Linked DNA regions of Drosophila melanogaster. The protein of the gene in region 2 interacts with the protein of the main gene of each other region in a pairwise test. Each region holds a gene or a part of one and is shown on either strand. Other genes may lie near its edges.

Region 1 (8,228 bases), on a different chromosome or scaffold from region 2:
TGCCTGGGCACGTTGTCGAGATCTTTCCCTCCTTCAGCAACTAGATGACCGCTTTCATTGCGCAAACGTGATGGGTAAGATGTTCTATAGAGTTGTTTTTTCATAGTTTGTATATAAAAGTTTTACTCGGTATTGATATATTACATATTTACATATTCAGTAAGAAAAATGTTTTCTAATCATAAAATAGAACGCTATAGTCGGCTTCGCCGATTTTAAGATACCCGTTACTCAGCTAGTAGAAATGCGATCGCGAAATTTCATAATTTTTCTGGAATATCGATAGATATACAAATATATATATATGGATTAGTAAGTATTGTTACCCCTGACACAGAGACACTAAACAAGTTCTTTTCTTTAATTGTAAACTAATGAAATTTTGCCAATATACGCAAGAGGGAAGCAATTTGACCTTAATTAGGCTAGTCCGTGAGACTACATAATTGCTACCCTAAGAACTTTAGGGAAGTCAATTAATGACGAGAGAATCTTATAGTCGATTTATTCAAATTTCAGATTTCCGTTACTTAGCCAGTGGGCGTAACAATTTTTGTAAGGTTAACGCAGAATACAAGTCATTTCAAATTGTATTAAATTGTTATTTTTTTTTACAAAATAACATTCTATTTTTTTCAGGAAAGGTTGGTCACATCGTGCGTCAGGCAACAGTAGCAGCATCCACACAAGCACAGGCATCGTCGTCAACCTCCTTTTGTAAACGCACCCTGCCCGAATATTTAATGATCCCGCAGTATTACATGAGTGGGGTACTGACTCTAACCCGCAAATGTTAGGACGTATTTGCACAACCACTCATTTATTTTCACATTAAGCCGGATACACATCATCTCTCTAGAAGTGCTTAGCCCAGTTTTATTGTTTAATTTTTTTTAATAAGTCATCTTCCATATTAAATCAGGTGATCGCATGGCCGTGACCCACCGCTTAAGTCGGGTTCAAAAGTCTCTCCGCTCTAAAAAAAAAAGAAAATAAAGAAACTCAAAGTTTAGTTGGTGTTTAAAGCTCAAAAATGTTTTCTATGTAGGCCATAATATACAGGTATCAATACAAATATATGTATCTGCCTCGCCTATCAACGCCTTATATTGTAATGTGCATATTTGTTTACGGAATACGTAATACATATGTATGTATGTACATATGTACATATACATATGTAATTATACCCGTTACTTGTAGAGTAGAAAGGTATACTAGAGTCGTTGAAACATATGTAACAGGTACATAGTTTTCCGGTCATATAAGGGAAATATATAGCATTCTCTCTTGTTTTGTTATTCGAATTTTGCATTAGATTGTTTTGCTAGCGAGTGAGCGCCATGCGTTAGAAATAATTGTGACACAGAAGCCTATTTAAAACAAACATGGCCAGCAAGGGTAACATAAGGTCACAGTTTTTTAATTGTTTGACAGCAAGAATTTTTAACGACTGCAATCCAAGTGCTTAAACTTTTCTCATAAGGCTGGCTGTGTTCTGCACGTCGTTCAAGGGCCGTGACGCAACATAATTGCTACTGCAGATTTTTGGATAATATAAATAAAAATAATATAATAAAAAACATTTTCTAACTCAACTCATCTCAGTTGATCATCATCTTCCTGAATTCTTCTTTCGTCTTCGTTGTTACCCGCCTTTCGTTTTTAATCTTACTTTAGCGTTATATATATATACATGTCTGAAAACAAAACAGTATGAGATACACACCACACATATATTGGAAAAAATATTTCTCGGATTGGTGGGCCAGCTCAAAGACAGGAAAAAGGCTCTACATTCGAATTAAGACAATCAGAATTTTATTATACTCTATGCTTTTTATAAGAAAGGGATCTTGCAAGCGGTTTATAACTACATTGAATTAGCTGATAAGTTTCTACTAAGAGTTCCCTGCGTATAGAACGACATATTTCTTGCTGGTCCAAATTTTTGTGTTGCTTTAAAACTCACAAGTTAGTTTCTAGCACGTATGAATGTCACTGTTACTTTACAACGAATCTAGTATACTCTCTCTATACGAGTCACGCGTATAGTTAGTAAGCCGGCTACTAAAAAACAAATCAAGAATTTCTGCTGTTTTAAATTTAAAATTCAATCTTCTTTAATTACTTATTTAACACTTCAACGGCCAGGAGAATGTTATTTTTCAGGTAAAAGTGTTAGTCCAACACGGACTATCGTTTTTCAGGTCGTGAACGACTTACTGGCATAAACATGTTCTGTCCAGTTGGCTATATAGCATTACCACTTACCCAAAATTTGTTGTCTTACACAATTCTGTTGGCATAAGCATATTATGTGAATCTTAACTCTTACTCTTAAGTACTGTTAGATTTACTCAATAAAATTAGTTGGAGTATTGACAAGTACGATCTTAATTTATTCCCTTCGACAGAGGTGGTCCTATATCATAACGACTTGAAGACTTGAACTGTACAGAACTGTATGCCAGGCATACTAGTAGAGCACAAACAAATGCAAACTTTTAATCCAGTCAGAACTGGCTTTTGTCTTTCACAAGGTCGACAAACGTGTAGATCCCTTGACAAAAACTCAGCTTCATTGGAAGTACCATAGCATTCTGGCGAAAAACATCAACGGAAGACCTTTCCTGCAACATATATGGCAATAAGTGGGTAGTGATCAGAACACAATGTAAATTTTAGTCTAATAGATTATGCCCTAGCTTTAAACCTTAATATATAATATAAAACTTTCCTTTTCCTATTGCACTATTTATTTAGATGTGTTATTTAGCCCTTGATAAAACGGCAATAAGTAATACTCTAAAGCTTATTCATATTCTTCATATTGATATTTATATAATATTTTATTATTTCTGAGAAATTATTTCTGCATTGAAAAATTTATGTATAACCGCAAAAATATTTTGTTAATTTTTTCGTGTTTTACCACTATATTTGCAATTGTTATAAAAATGAAGTATCCGAATACCTGGTCTAAATATAGCCAACTTACGGTAAAGCAACACTAGAATAATACCAAACTAAAATTATTTTGTTTAGTTAATTTATAAATTACTAAAATTATCATAGTGTCTTTGGTGAAATAGAGGTCCTTGGACCTAGAGCGCGGGAGAACTAAAAGTCAGCTAGATCTTTTAGCGAAAAGATCGAGACGTTTGTAACGAAGCAAGTCAACGAACTGAGACAAAGTAGTTGATGTTTCGAAAGCAGAGCGCGGTAAGTATCACATCAAAGAGCCTGGTTTCAGAGAAATCGACTTTATAAAATTTGAAAGATAAAAGGAAATTAATTATTTTTAACACCATTTAAAAATTAAATTAAATTGAAGAACATCGAACAAAGTCAATAATATTATTTTCGAACATTTTCGTCTTTAGCCTGGAAAACGAAACCGTTGGCCTACGACATAATTATATTTATAATAAACATACGAATCGAGGTAGCCTGGGCAGTCGTTATTATTCCAAGTGTACCATGGGCAAGAATAAAGTCCATGGAAACTGCAAAACTGCACTGTTGTTTCTGATAGCCGAGCAATCTTCGCACACTATGTATCATTCCAAAAATTATTCAAACATCTAAAGAGTTATTATACCCATTAATCGTAGAGTAAAAGGTGCAAGATTCGTTGTAAGTATGTATGTAACAGGCAGAAGGAAGCGTTTCCGACCATATAAAGTATATATATTCTTGATCAGGATCAATAGTCGAGTCGATCTGGCCATATCTGACTTTCCGACTGTCCGTCTGTCCGTATGAACGTCGAGATCTCATGAACTATAAAAGCTAGATGGTTGAGATTAAGCATACAGTTTGCGGAGACACATAGCGCCACACTATTTAAAAATTTTTAGATTTTTCTTCGTTTTATTGTTTGACTTGCCAATTTTTATCTGCATACCAAAAACACTGGCCACGCCCCTCCTTTTACATACAAAACCCCCAAAACTGCCACGCCCACACTTTTGAAAAATTGTTCTCACATATTTCTCATGTTTATCTTCCACTGTTATAAACTTCGCCGTTACTCCAATTCCGCTTTGTCTCAACGTTTCGCCAATTTTAATAAGAATCTATTTTTGTTAGTGCCCCAATGTCCAAAATATTTTTTTCTAGTTCATTTGGTTTTATTCAGTTTTGGAAACATCATTTCAGCAAAATTCTGCTAACAAGTACATGTGAAAGGGTAAGGACTTAAAATAAGGGAATAAAAATCATTGATAAATACCCCGGGACAATATTGGGCCTAGAGTGTAACCAAAAAAGAAAACCGAACCGTACGAAGATCCCCGCTCTAAATCCTATTCCGAACGGTTCGCTAGTTTTAATATACAAATTTTTTTTACTTGTTTATTAGTCATTGCATCTACTAGTAGCGCTGCTGCGATGGACGCCCACCGGCGTTGTAGTATCCACTGGCTCCTGGAGGCAAGCTAGGCGGCATTGGTGGTGGTGGTGCAGCGCTCCCGCTATAGTGTCCGACCACTGTCTGCTGGACTCCCCATCCGGAAGAGGGGTACGGCGGCATAGGCACTACCGGCGGGGGCGGCGGTGGAGGAGCATGATAAATGTGGTACCCGGATGGCTGACCTGGTGGTGTTGGGCCCTGTAACAGGTTCTGGGAGTCGCTAGGACCAATGATTGGCACGCCACTGGCTAGGGATTTAATGCTCTGAATGTTGCTAACTTCCAGCACGCCACCGTTGCCACATACGGGGGGCGGCGGCTGTTGTGGAACGGAAAGTGGTCCAATACCCGTAGAATTGGTAAGCTTGCCGGATTTTGGACTGTCGGCTCTGCTTGGTGGCTTTTGGGGCGGACTGGTTGGCTGGAGCGCTTCTTTTTGGGTTGATTGGTACAGGTCCAGAACTTGGTGGCAGATGTCTTCGAGTATTTCCATCGTTACATCAGACACAAACATATCCCACCAACGCTGCTGCTGTGGCTGGCGGCCCTCCCAGTCTTGCACAGTGAATTTGCTTAGCTTGCTGGCCAAATGGATAAGAGCCACGGCGATAATCTCCGGCTCCCACTGTAGACAAACTACTGTGCTGAGAGAGTCGTTGACGAAGTTCCACGCCATTTGCACCATCTTTTGCAGCTTCTGCTGGTCGCCTTTGAAACACTTAGCGTACTTTAGGAGAAAGGTGTAAGGATGCTCTACTTGCAAATCGAATTTGATGGTCTGCAGCAGAATACGCTCTAGCGTCATCACCTCCTCCTTAGGGTCGTCGCCAAACGAGTAGAAGTAATTGTCGGTAAGGATGCCACGCGCAGTTTTAATAATGTCGCGACACTTCTTTGGCGTCTCCTCCACCTTGCCAGCAAAGAACAGGCAGCAGCACGCAGTCACGTACCGGGGGAAACTCCGGAACGAATGAAACATGTAAAATCGGTGAAAATATACAACGCCGGTGGCCATCGTGTTGTGGCCCAAGCCCATTTTGGTGCCACATTCCATAATAAATCGAGCACCTTCTTTTCTGTACCGCCGCTCCGTTTCGAAGCTTATTCCATCCAAGATCGAGGGCGTCTCCCGCAGCTCCTTTTTGTCGTAATACCAGCACGGCATCGCGGCAATTTAGGCTGCGGGTACTACCAGTAGTCCGCGTCGTTGGAAGGAATTTGTGTTAAACCTTTAGCCAAATGGTTGTCAGCATATGCGCGTCCTGGAGCCGATAAGCGCTTTTGTTTATTGTAAATAAATCAGTTTTCGATTTTTATGTTCACTTGCAGTGTTACCATGTCTACGACGATGAAGAAAAAAACTTTATTGGAAGCCCCTTTTACACCAAGACCACGACGATTTTGAGTATATGGAACAACTTTATTGGTAAATAGATAACGCAAAAATTTTCGATCTCTTGCGGGTCAAACTGAATATTTTTTGTGCGTTTGCTAGTTTTGGTGACTTAATTTTGGGATATAATTAAACAGATATATTTACACGTGGTTTTGGCCGTCCTTTGACTGTTACGAGGAACAAATGGGATGTTTACACTGGAATCGCATTTCCATGTTTTGGAGATATCAAACCAAGCATAGGGATTAGTGATGGGAATTGCGCAATTTGTTTTGTTGTTAAATGGTATATTGAAATAATTCATTATGTATAATCCTACTGGATAACAAGTATTTCAATTTAAAGCATAGATAGCATTCGTTAAACATTATAAAATGTAATAACAAGATTATGAGCAGTGTAAGCGCTTTCTATTTAATAGTAATTACTTCTAGTAATGTGGTGATGAATTTATTATAACCGTTAGTCGTATTTTCGTATTCCGACCATTTAAGGTATATATATTCTTGATCAGGACCAATATCCTAGTCGATCTGACTATAATTTAATTAGTCTTTTTAATTTCTATCGATTTGTCAATAAAATTTTTGCCACGCGCACTCTAACGCCCTAATGCCACACTTTGGAACAATTTTGAAATTTTTTATCATTTTATATCCCATTATCTATCGATATTCCATAAAATTGATGCAATTTCGCGTTTGTATTCACACTAGCTGGTAACGGTTATTTGATAGCCTTGGAACTCGACTATAGTATTCTTTCTTTTATTATTAATATAAACGCGAGTGATGGCACTATAATTTTATTATGTTTCTATATTTTTTATGTTTCTATAATGTGTGTTAAATTCTTAAAAATCGATATATATCACTCAAATTACATAATAATGGAAAACCGAAACGTGAGCTTGATAGAGCGAAACAACCAAATCAGTCGAGATGCTTCTTTTTAACGTAGAAAATGTTATGTATATTTTTCTTTGAATCATGCACTTAGGCTAGTGAACATATTTTCAAACCTTACCGCTCAAGTGATCATTGACTTAAATAAAATTTTACAAAACTCAAAGAACATCCAGCAGCACGCAGACACGTATCAGGGGAAACTCAAGAATGAATGAAACACGTAAAATCGGTGAAAATATACAACGCCGGTGGGGATCGTATTGTTTTAATAATATTATATTTTTTAATGAAGTACAGATAATATGGAATTGACTTTGATTGAATTTAAAAATGTATATTAAAATTTATCAGTGATAACAAACATTTTATATTTCTTTCACCAAGTGATTCAGTATATGTATACAATTCTAGTATTTTAACTTCTATTTAACGAGCACTTAGGGAATGTGAATTTCCGTCATTCGACTGCGCCAATTGCATGCTAAGTATTTGGTTGCGGTTAACAACCAAGGCCGGAGTACCCCCAACGTTGAAAACTATCTACGTCTCACAAGACAAGCAATTACGATCTCGAACTTCAAAAAGGTAAACAAACCCAAATGTTGTGCAAATTCTAACGTTTGATCACCCCTGATCGCAGATTCCGTCTATGCGGATTGTGTTGTTATCCTGGGAAAGCTACAAATACCGCGTATAAATTTGCTATATTCGTAATTGGGTTCGAAGCTAAGCGATGCCCAGCCTACCAGTTCGGCGTACACGGAAGGATTCCCAATTGGAGAACGATGACGATCTTGGTCGTATTGCCCAAATTTATCCCACCTATGCTACACTCAGGTAGATATTTTTGGATCAGCCGCAAATTTCCTGGCTTGGCTATGTCAAATGACTTAATCGACATTTGATTTCACGGTTTTATTTATACGGACATACATACATGTATTTCATATTTTAAAATATACATATTTGCCTTATTTAAAAAATAATAATTAATGCTTACTGACTAGTACCTTCCGATTTTGTTTAAAATAAACACGTAATTATTATCTCCTAAAACTAGTGCAGGCTCACAATTACCACCTGCCTTTCAAAAATGACTTAAAGATAAAGAAATGTGAAAAATTCATTTACTCACTAATTTGAAACTTAAACTAATAATATACACACATTTGTAATATTTTAAGCATAAGAAAAGTTAGTATGCATTCAATTTTATTGTTTGTGCATTAATATGTAGTTATTTTTACGCTTTTAGGTATTTAAATATAGTCCGACATCAAATTAAAACAAGAGAGGACGCAATAATCAAGTTGCCCGACTATTACATATCCGTTACTTAGCAGTCAAATTAAAAATCTTTTTGCTTTTAGCTTTTGATTAAAATTTTGAAATCGGTACCCAGGGTACCACTTGGAGGATCATGAGTTGCAACGGGGTCGTTTAAAACAAAATCAATGTTTGGGACCTACTTGAGTTTTCAAACTCCAAACCAAAAATTTGGTTTTCGT
Region 2 (7,448 bases):
TGAAAGTGAAACCGAAGCTGTTGTCGCGGCTTTTGGTCGCTCGCCGTCCGCAATTATCCTCATAATGCAATGAAAGCAGCGCTGTGAGAAAGGATGCTCCTCGGGGTTTCATGCTCGATTTGGACAGTTTATGGCTCTGCTTGTTTCCAAGGAGTATATGCTCAAGTCTCCGACGCGGCGAATGCGAATCTGTCTCGGGTCTCCGGTCCATAGGCCTTCCCATCCTCAGTCCTCGAACTAGGGAATTGTTCGCAAATTTTATTACTGGCGCTATCGGATTTTCTCCTTCCGAGAATTCGCTAAAAATACGTTGGAACAAAGGAAAAGTCATAACAGGATAACCGTGTGGAAATGTCGCGGCGAGAGTGAGGTACAGTTGAAAATATCTTTACTTAGGTTATATATGAAAATTAACATTTTCGAAATAATATTTTTAGAATTGTCGAAAAGATTCATTTAAAAACATAATTAAAACATGATCTTTTGAAAAGAAGTGCTAAAACTCTTAATTAACTTGTTTAAGTCTTAAGTTAATATCGCAACCATGTTAATGGGTCACTGTGCACAATTGTGAAAAGTATTTACAATAAAAACCTGAACCAAATTAAAAAGCTTTACAATATCAATAAAAAACTAATTTATGAATACTTTGCGATATCTCGCGATATTTGAAAGATGCATAGATGCTATAAATTATCTTCATAAATGGCGGATTAAAAAGTAGTTTATTAATTATAGTAGTTAAACTAGGTGTGATGAAGGGCACAGGAAAACAAGTCTTGTGATAAGTAAGAATGGATTCAGAGCTTGGTTTTCCCAGGACATCCATAATCCACCTACTAAAACGCGCCCAAGATCAATAAAAACTCTATAACTGGGAGAAACCCAATCAATATTCGTTCATATAGGCCCCGTTATTGGACTTCTGGATTTCCCAAAACTTATATCAAAGAAAATAGGGGCAACAAGTTGCCTGGCGGCGCCCCGCGAGTGCTGCCTGTACAGTGTCTACCTAAATAGTGCGACCGCGCGAGGATCAGGCGATAAGAGTATGGGTTTCAGGTAGGTGAATAAACACAGGCAGCTGGTGCAAATGTTTTATGATCCGCGGGTGTTCGCGGAAAAATCGCGAATCATATTTTATGGCAGGCATGTGTGAGTATGTGCAATAAAGTGCATTTTTAAATTCATAAGATTTTCGGGAAAACCAGATACTGTTTTCGTTCATTCTAGAAAGGGACGGAAATATGGGCTAAGTATGTAGTTATGTGTAGTTAGTCACAATTTACCCGAGTAGAGTAGTTCTTATATATTTTCGTAATTAAAAATACAAAGCTTAAAGAGACAACATCAAAGGTGCAGCATTTTAAAATTAAACTTGAGGCCTAACAGATTGCAATGCTCTTCTTAGTGATGTAAATAGAATGTGAGCTATGATAGTTATTCCGTTTGGCAGCAAAAAATCTCCGAATCTGAAACAAATGGTCTGCATTGATTGAAAATACAATTTGCTGACTATTCTTGGTCAAAGAATGCGCAAATGTTTGATTATGTCAGACACTTTGGCATAGCATAGAAATTGAAAATATCATATCAAATATTATTGTTTAAATGTTCGATCTTTAAGGGTAATCATTGTATGAGATTACGCCCAAGAGAAACATTTTTCATTTTGATTAGTACAGTTTTTAGCTATGTCAAATTGTAACAGAGAAGATTTTCTTGCTGGCTCGGAATATAATTTCCGAAATGTGGGACGATAACTTTCCATGGAATACGCTTAAGCCCAAATGGCCTCAAATGTAACTGGTTGCATATTCCCGGGCTTTAGTGGAGCAGCCACCCAGATACATCTAAGGCGAATAGCGTATTGCAGGGAAAGTATAGAGTTAACTGGAGTATCACTAAGATATGCACTGGAATCCGTGCGGCCTGCTGACTAGGCTAGTACATAAAACTTCCCTGGGAACCATTTACACGGATCTTAGGACTAGACCTAACTTTCTACGCGTAGATATCTACAATCACTTGGTATTTGTACAATCAGGAACAACAGTGGTTAACCTAAAGCTAATGAAACTCTCTAACACGCCTCTCATCCAGGCTAATTGAAGCAGTAGGCAAACTGCGAGTTGCCCGCGGCGTTCCGATGGGGATTATACGCTTGCATTATCGTATCCATCGTGCATTGATATTGGTTCGATTCGCCCATGGCCACGCCCCCCATTCCGAGGGGCGGCTGAGGGCCTTGTGGGGGCGAAGGCTTGCCAAATTTGGCAAATGCCGCTCCACGATTTCCGGTTCCTGCTAAGGCTCTTATTCCGGTGCTCATGTCGTCGCTACTGCCATCGTCGCAGCTCTTGTCCAGACCCTTCAAAGGCTCCAAGATCTAGGGAGAGAGCGAACGCATTTAGAACATAAATAAATTCGATTGAAATTGCTAAATTATTGTTACAATTTATAGCTAAAAATGTTCATCAGCATATGAGTCTGTTTTCACTTTTAAAATGCATAGATCTTATTTTTCTGGTCAAAGAAATGCTATTTTAACTTGCAGTGTATTAAGAGTGATTACATGAATAAAAAAGTAAAAAACCCTGAAAACTAAGGGCTTTCAAACGGTTGAAATCTTAACCTTTGATACAAATTCTATATTAAAATACATCTTTAACACTTGTACTTCCCTTTCAGAAATGCCATGTCTAATTTAGAAAACAAAAACTTAATAAGTTAAATGTTAAATATTGGAGAACTCCCAAATCTCATCGATCGGAAATAGAAGTACTTTCAGAATAACATCTCAAACCAGACAGTTTGAAAGTTACAAAGCTTAAAGCTTCAATTTATAAACGCCACACTCAGAATCAAGAGATCAAAAAAGGTTGTGGACTCATGCCTGACCTGTAGCGTCGTCTTCTTGCTCGTTCCGTCGTCCATGTCGTCGGCCGCCTCCGTCTCGCCAACGGCGATGGCGCAAGGTCCGCCGATGCCGATGCCACACAGACTCGGACTTTCGTCATTCTTGGGTGTTAATGGCTCGTAGACCTCGGAGCCCGGCGAGGCAGCGCCTCGGGCCACAGCGGATGCCGATGCAGTGGCGCCAGACATTCCCGATCGCATGTAGTACGAGCTGTTGAAGTTGTAGTCGGCCTCCGGTTCGTCCTTGACCAGGACGCGACAGGCGCTGGCTTGCTTTTGCTGGAAGTCAAAGTGATGGTATTGCTGCTGCTGAGCCTGCTGTTGCTGCTGCTGCATCTGGTGCGGCACGTGGTTGCCCTGGTGGTGCAGTTGCTGCTGGTGATTATGGACCTGCTGCTGCTGGAAGAACTGGCCGCCATTGACATTGGTCGACCCAGGTCCTGGCCCCCCTCCGGAAGGATACTGCATGTGCATGTGACGATTGGCCTGGGCGTGATTGTGGCCTCCATTGTAGTTGTAGTAGGCGTTGAATGACTCGCTGTAGTGCTCCGTCATGTGTGCAGTGGGCGTTGAGGGCGTGGGTGACGGAGTCAAAGCGTTGGGCGTGGCTCCTCCACCCAAGCTAAGAGTCTGCAAGCTGGGGGGATCGCCATCGCTCTGTTTCATACCCGGCGAGAGAGGCATCCCCTCGTAGGACTGGTCCTTGTGCTGATCCGATTGGATCTTGTGACGACGCCGACGGTTCTTAAACCATATCTTCACCTGGGCTGTGCCCAGGGCTAGTTTCGCTGACAGATCCGCAAGTCGGGGGGCTGTGAGGTATCGTCCCTGCAGAAAGTGCTGCTCCAGCTCTGCTATTTGAGAGCTGGTAAAAGTGGTGCGGGTGCGACGTGGTCGCCGCATCACCAGAGAGTCGGGCAGCTCCTCTGAGGGAAAGACATCTGATAAGACGATGGCTGACTTTGTTGGCTTTGAGCTCACCTGGCTTGGGCATCTGGTTGGGCAGATACGGACGTATGTAGTTGTAGTTTATCGCTCCCGTTCGCTCATCGAAAAGCTTCAAAGAATCAAGGGGTACACTGTCTTTATATAAAAACGTGAAAGGACGATTCGCTTCGGGGACCGAATCTTGCAATATTACTTTCACTAATCATCATGCAGGACAACAATGCTTGTTTTAGAAAATATGTTGTATGAAGTGTATAAAGTCAATAATGTATACCCAGTGGCCATAGATGTGGCTTTTGAAAAATAGACATTACTGATTGTCGGTGTGAGTGCAACAGGTTTAACATTCGTCCATTTCAATGAAACACCTTTTAGAACATTTCGGCAAATCACTAATAACATGATGCCCCACAATTCATATACAATTATATACTATACTAACTGTAACGATTAATAATATCAATTGGTTTTTAGATTCTGCTACGATACTTTAAAAGTCACAAACAAGATAATAGAAGATTTCGCCCTATGTTCTAGAAACACATTTGCTGCGGCTCAATAAATGTTTATGGTCATCAGTGATCGCACTGGTTGTTTGTTCACCATAGGGAATCTGTACTGTAGCTTTCCTGGGACAAGAGCCCTTCTCTGCTGCGATGGGAACTCACCAAATCGAAGGGATTTCGGAATTGTGGCGGCAACTGAAGCTGCGGATGTTGGTGATGTGGGTGCGGATGCGAGTGCGGATGCGGATGGGAGTGCGGATGCGGATGTGTGTGCGTGTGGGGCAGCGGATGATGGTAAAAGTTTTGATCTGGCGGCGGTTGCGCCATTTTCCCCAAACACTCCGCCGCGTTATCTTTACGAATTTCCAAGCGCCGCGCGGAAAAATGGCAAAGGAGTGTGGAAACTTTCTTGTATTTTCAGTAACCGGTTACTTTCGAGACGCTCGCGAACTTATTTCGCCCACATTTTGCGTTTTTGCGATCCACTGCTTCGCATCTGCAGAGTGCCGTTATTTAGGGATGAGCGAAGAGATGTAGAGATGGCACAATTGGCGGCCCTCCCTCGATGTTCATTCTTTTGAGTAATTTAAAAATCAATAAGCGTCTACAATACATTTTAGACAAATATTTGGACATTTTATTTTTAAATGTTTGCCTCTAATTTAAAAGTTTTTAATCGAACAGTACGGCAAAGCTGCAAACCGATTGAGTGCACAGCGTTTTCACCAGGGGGCGTGAAGAGACAGCAGTAGAGAGCCCCCTGTCGGGCTGTATTGAAAGGTTGTGCTCACTGACAAAAGGTGAATGTTCTAAAACGTCGGAGGTTTATTTATTTGTAGAGATTTGCATTTGAGAATAATAATAAAAAAAAGCTTGAATATTGTAACAAATAAGTAGAACCAATTAAACTTAAACTCTTTGCTCTGTTTGGAACTTCATAATATTAACATTTAATTAACAAACAGGCACCCCAAATTTAGGAATCAATTAGACAAGTGTCGAATGTTTAATTTGAATTTTTGTTAATATTATAATATTAATATGCTCCAGTCCAGTCCAGCCTGAATTGAACAAAATGTGCACTTTGTAGTTTATTCTGTTACATACTTCCGCTATTAATAACTACATTATTCAATCTTAGTATCGCGAGATATATAAGGACTTGGGACAAAGAATAAGGATGGTGGAGATCGAGTTTGTTTTTCCAAATGATCTCAAACGGCTACGTACGAAAGAAAATATCATATAATCGTTTTGTAAGACAGCATATAGTGCTTGCTATATGTACCTGTTAGGCAGTGCATTATAAAATGTATTAGAAGAATAAAAGGTAACCAGTTGTCGAGTTAATTAGCTGTAGCGTTCGATTCTTTTGTTAATTTTTTTTAAGTTGTTCTACTCATTTCTGATGTTAAGCTAGGATTGGCAATTATTATTTTCAGGCTCCATATTTGGAAAATTCGATATGTTTAGCGTTGAAGAATATTGTGTAAATATCTACAAGCATTAAGTTGCTCAGTGCATTGGCCCAAGCTTTAACATTTTAAAACACACCCAACGAGCCAGTTGACCTTTAAGCAAGTGTCGCAAGGCCTTAAGTGAAATATTTTTTAATGACATTTGCCAAATAATTGTCGTGTTTGCTTTTGGGATCTGGCAGGAGCTTGTTGCTGTTGGCCGGGCTTTGCTGCTTCTGCCGCTGCCAACTGGCAACAAAAGTCAATTCACAGACACTCCAGTCGACGGAGTCGGAGTGCAGCCAAAAGGCAAACAAAATACGTTCGCATAGGCAAAGCCCAAGGATACACACAAAGGTACAGTGGTTGCTCTGACTACAAATACAAATTAAACAGGGCCAGAGCTTTAATACCAATTCGATACCATTGCAACAACAGCATTTCAAATGCTACTTTTTTATATCAGATAAAGATAGGTAGAAAAGGCTATATTTACGTTAAAGGCAAGCTGATATTTTAGAAATTTATTCAAAAACAAAATTAATTACTTTGACACATAATATTGTATTTAGTCATCTGACTAGAAACTAGAAATCTCTGAATGTAACGAAGTTCTGTGCATTCTTACAAATATTACAAAAAGTATCTGCTAGATACCACTGTGCGGAACTGGGCCACAAATTCAGACGCAGTGTGTGACAAAGGACTTCTCCCTTCCCCGCTCGGCGACCCTGAATGCTGAATGCCCCCGTGTGTGCCGCTGCTGAAGCGAAACACCCAAAGAGTCACTGACAGAAACAGGATTCGGGTAATAAATTACAAAATTTGACATTTTCTGTTTTGGATCCGCTTGCGCCTGAATGCGAGCGGCAGCCCTCTCTGTCGCACGCCGTCTAGCCGTCTCTTTCGTTCGGTTTCGGTGTGTGTCCAGTTCGGTCGGGCCAAGTCGAGCGTTGCATGAAGCAGCCGGACCTGCCAGGACCTGGACCAGGACCTGAACCTGCATCCAAGAGGCATCGCCGCAATGGTCATAATGACGCTGCCGGGATGCAGCTGAGGACAAGGAGAGCCGTCAGTGGGCAGCGAGAAAGGGACGGAATAGAAGCGCCCTATGCGGTCCGTTGATAGTTAACTGGAAATTTATTATTTTACACAATTTACAATTATCTGATTCGAATGTGCACTCAGCGACGAGGATTCCGGCAGATGGGCAGTACGAGTGAGAGTGCGGGGGTCCAAGTTCGGACGACAGATGCAGTTGTCCTCCCATGGGAACGGCCTCATTTCAGCAGAAGTCACCGAAACGATTTAAGATGTGATTTAATTTTCCAGAAACTGTGGCCATAGTTTCGTCGCTCTTCGGGGGAATTTCTTCGCCAGACAGACAGCGTCGTCATCAATCATCTCGCAGAGTAAAGCCGGGTTAACCTCGATGGGTTTTAGGGGGAAACTTGGCCCGGGGCTGATCAGGAATCAGGCTGGAAATATGAAAATTAAATGCGTTTGGGCAGCAGAAAGTTTTCGAATGGTTCGGTGCTTATACAACAAGTGAAATTTTGCACATCAAACGGCCTTTGACCACATTTAATCCTTAAATCATCTGCCATAGGAACTAATT
Region 3 (2,812 bases), 610 kb from region 2:
GAAATATTTTTTCGTCCTAAGTTATTTCTTTGTTAGGTTCAAAGTGAGTATTTCTCAAAGTGTAAGCATGCGAAGTTTTAACAAAATTTTTCTTAGAACTTTACGGAACCATCATGTGTTGCGGACCCCTTGGATTCTGCGGACCCTGTAGCCCGTGCGGCGGTCCTTGCGGACCTTGCGGACCCTGTGGTCCTTGCGGTTCCTGCTGTAGTCCTTGTGGATCTTGCTGTGCGCCTTGCGGCCCTTGCGGTCCTTGCGGTCCTTGCTGCGGGGGCTGTGGTCCATGCGGGCCTTGTGGACCTTGCTGTGGACCTTGTAGGCCATATTGCGGGTGCTGAACAACAACCACAACATGTAAAATATCTTTTTCCTGTGAACCACAAAGTGGAACTTAGGACTGAATGCGGATAAACTCTTCTTAGCTCGCGGGCCTAGTCAATAAAATAAGAATTTCAAAATACCTTTTCCGATGGTTTTTCTCTTCTAAATGGTGCAACCTTTGTCTTAGCTATGGATACCAAATGCGTGACAATAATAATTTATGTAATATAATTGCGAAAATTAAAATTGTCAATTCTTGGTGGATTGCGATCGTTAGAGGGGGCGGAGGAACATCCTACGTTCATATCGACTAGGCTTGTGATCCAGCTCAAGAATAAATAACCTTTTCTTCTATTCACTATAGCATAGCTATTACTCTACGAGTGGCGGGTATAAAACCTGCAACCGTGAATTTAAACCTCATTCAATAATAGTATTTGTCTGCAAACGGACAAATGTCCGATAACAATAATTCTATAACAATAATAACTATTTTTAACCATCAACCGCTGTACATAAACATAATTCGAATTCATAGTAGGCTATGGAAATCGTTCTTGACCTGTCAGACCCACCTAACCTTGTAAGTTCGGAAAATATATCATTCTCATCTCGACCCTTGTGCTGCTCGCATCAAAATTTTGTTGTTTTGTCCCAAATACTTGTTTTTTTTTTTTGGCTTCTAAAGACCGTTGGTAAAAATGTTTATTGTAAAGTTAAAATAGTATACATATTTATTTCGTTTATTTTAGACTTCTCGAATTAATCATGTGCTGTGGACCTTGTGGATCGTGCTGCGGATATTACTGCTGTGGTCCCTGCTGTGGACCTTGTGGACCCCGATGTGGGCCGTGCGGATCCTGCTGTGGACCCTGTGGACCCTGTGGACCTTGTTGCGGACCATTTGGCAGTTGTTGCGGTGGCTGTTGGTGCTAAATGCTCGCAATTGGCAGCCGAATCGATTTGTGAAACCATACCACAATCCCACCATGGTTAAACTAACACCTGAAAGTTAAAAGCCACAAATATATATATATGTATCTTAATGCAGATCCATGTTATCATTGGGATAGTTCACCATTGCTCTTACTCGGCGTTACTCGTTGACATAATAGGAATGCGTTTCGTAATATGTATGTGGGTGTAGGTTTCTTGATCAGGAACACTAGCCGGATACTAAGCGAGCAGATTGTATTGCGCTGCGAGCACAAGTTGCTATATGGAAATGGTTGAGACGTTCTTGGTAATACCATTTTATTTTACACGAATGACGTCTCAAGGTGATTGATTCTGCCTTCCGACGAGCTTCACTAGGACGTTCTTTGTTGTTCCCATCTGGATCAGTTGTACTGCTTGCTACGGCAGGACATTTTCTTAAGCACGTTATTGTAAAATTCACTAAAGAACAAAATTAAATTCCTTTTAGGGCATTGATATAAAATTTTTATTAATTTTGCATTTGTTTATTTTAAATCTAGAAGGCTTTGAATCTATATTCTACTTTCCTGTGCAAGTTCTATGTAAGCAAACATCAGTTTTCATCTTTCCCTTAACCCAAGAACATCAAAATTTGAGCTCTTTTCCAAGCTTTTTAGGTTCAGCACTTTGTACGTAGTTTTTTATTTAAGAAAATTGTTGGTATAATAGCTTTTCTTTTAGTTCTCAGAAATTAAAAAAAAACATGGGCTGTGCACCGGGCGGACCTTGCTGCGGACCCTGTGGACCGTGTTGCGGACCCTGTTGTGGACCCTGTTGTGGACCCTGTTGTGGACCCTGTTGTGGACCTTGCGGGCCCTGCTGTGGCCCCTGTGGACCTCGTTGTGGCCCTTGCGGACCCTGTGGACCGTGCTGTGGCACTATGGAAAAACGAAATGGCCTTCAGCGGTGCTGTCCTTTTTAGCTGTGATTTCCCGAATAAGCAACCAAACTGTGTCCAAAAAAAGATTTCATTAGTCTATTGTGACAAATAAAGGGGAACTATGAAAACTATCAAATTAATGGATCTTAGCAGGGAGCCAATGTAATCATTGCAATTTCATTCATTCACACTCCGTACAAGAACTATAAAGATTACTGCTTTTCCTCTGCTACCTTTGCTTCACAAGCCGATGACGAATGACAAGCCAATCCAAAAAGGCAGTAGCTGAAGAGAGAAGCAATCTCCATAGGACAATCACCATAGGACAATAGACCAGGCTAACACTGAAGCCTGCGGCAATACATTCACACACGTAATAGTTGCATTGGGCTTAAAAGGAGCAGTTGGTTTATGCCAACATGCTCAGGTAATTGGGACGATGCAGTTGGAAAATAAAAAGTAATCCTGCCCTTGCAGCAATTAAATTAGCCAAATAGGGGATGTTAATTAGTGTCAAGTACCTTGAAGTAAATGGTGCCAAAAGAGGCGTGGCCGAGGCCAATCAAAATGATTTCCAAGCAATGTTACTCATACGCCCCATGTAGCTGGTCCCAGTCAATTATTAATGGCTGC

What was found. The genes of interacting proteins can lie anywhere in the genome.
Region 1: the proteins of bcd (region 2) and CycK interact in a two-hybrid assay, tested with the Drosophila melanogaster proteins (2 studies listed by BioGRID).
Region 3: the proteins of bcd (region 2) and Mst84Dd interact in a two-hybrid assay, tested with the Drosophila melanogaster proteins (2 studies listed by BioGRID).

What each region holds. Positions count from the first base shown.
Region 1 is NT_033779.5:22,124,143-22,132,370, forward strand, and holds CycK (cyclin K), read right to left. Parts: upstream 6,001-8,228; 5' UTR 5,582-6,000; coding exon 4,379-5,581; 3' UTR 798-4,378; coding exon of another isoform or gene 640-797; 3' UTR 143-639; downstream 1-142. Other genes in the region: CG3651 (uncharacterized protein), read left to right, coding at 1-74, 640-797.
Region 2 is NT_033777.3:6,754,572-6,762,019, forward strand, and holds bcd (bicoid), read right to left. Parts: upstream 4,896-7,448; 5' UTR 4,701-4,895; coding exon 4,536-4,700; intron 3,999-4,535; exon of another isoform or gene 3,977-3,998; coding exon 3,901-3,976; intron 3,861-3,900; coding exon 2,902-3,860; intron 2,390-2,901; coding exon 2,105-2,389; 3' UTR 1,271-2,104; downstream 1-1,270. UniProt on the Drosophila melanogaster protein: Segment polarity transcription factor that provides positional cues for the development of head and thoracic segments.
Region 3 is NT_033777.3:7,362,807-7,365,618, reverse strand, and holds Mst84Dd (Male-specific RNA 84Dd), read left to right. Parts: upstream 1-1,845; 5' UTR 1,846-1,928; intron 1,929-1,980; 5' UTR 1,981-2,002; coding exon 2,003-2,221; 3' UTR 2,222-2,312; downstream 2,313-2,812. Other genes in the region: Mst84Db (Male-specific RNA 84Db), read left to right, coding at 114-338; Mst84Dc (Male-specific RNA 84Dc), read left to right, coding at 1,090-1,257.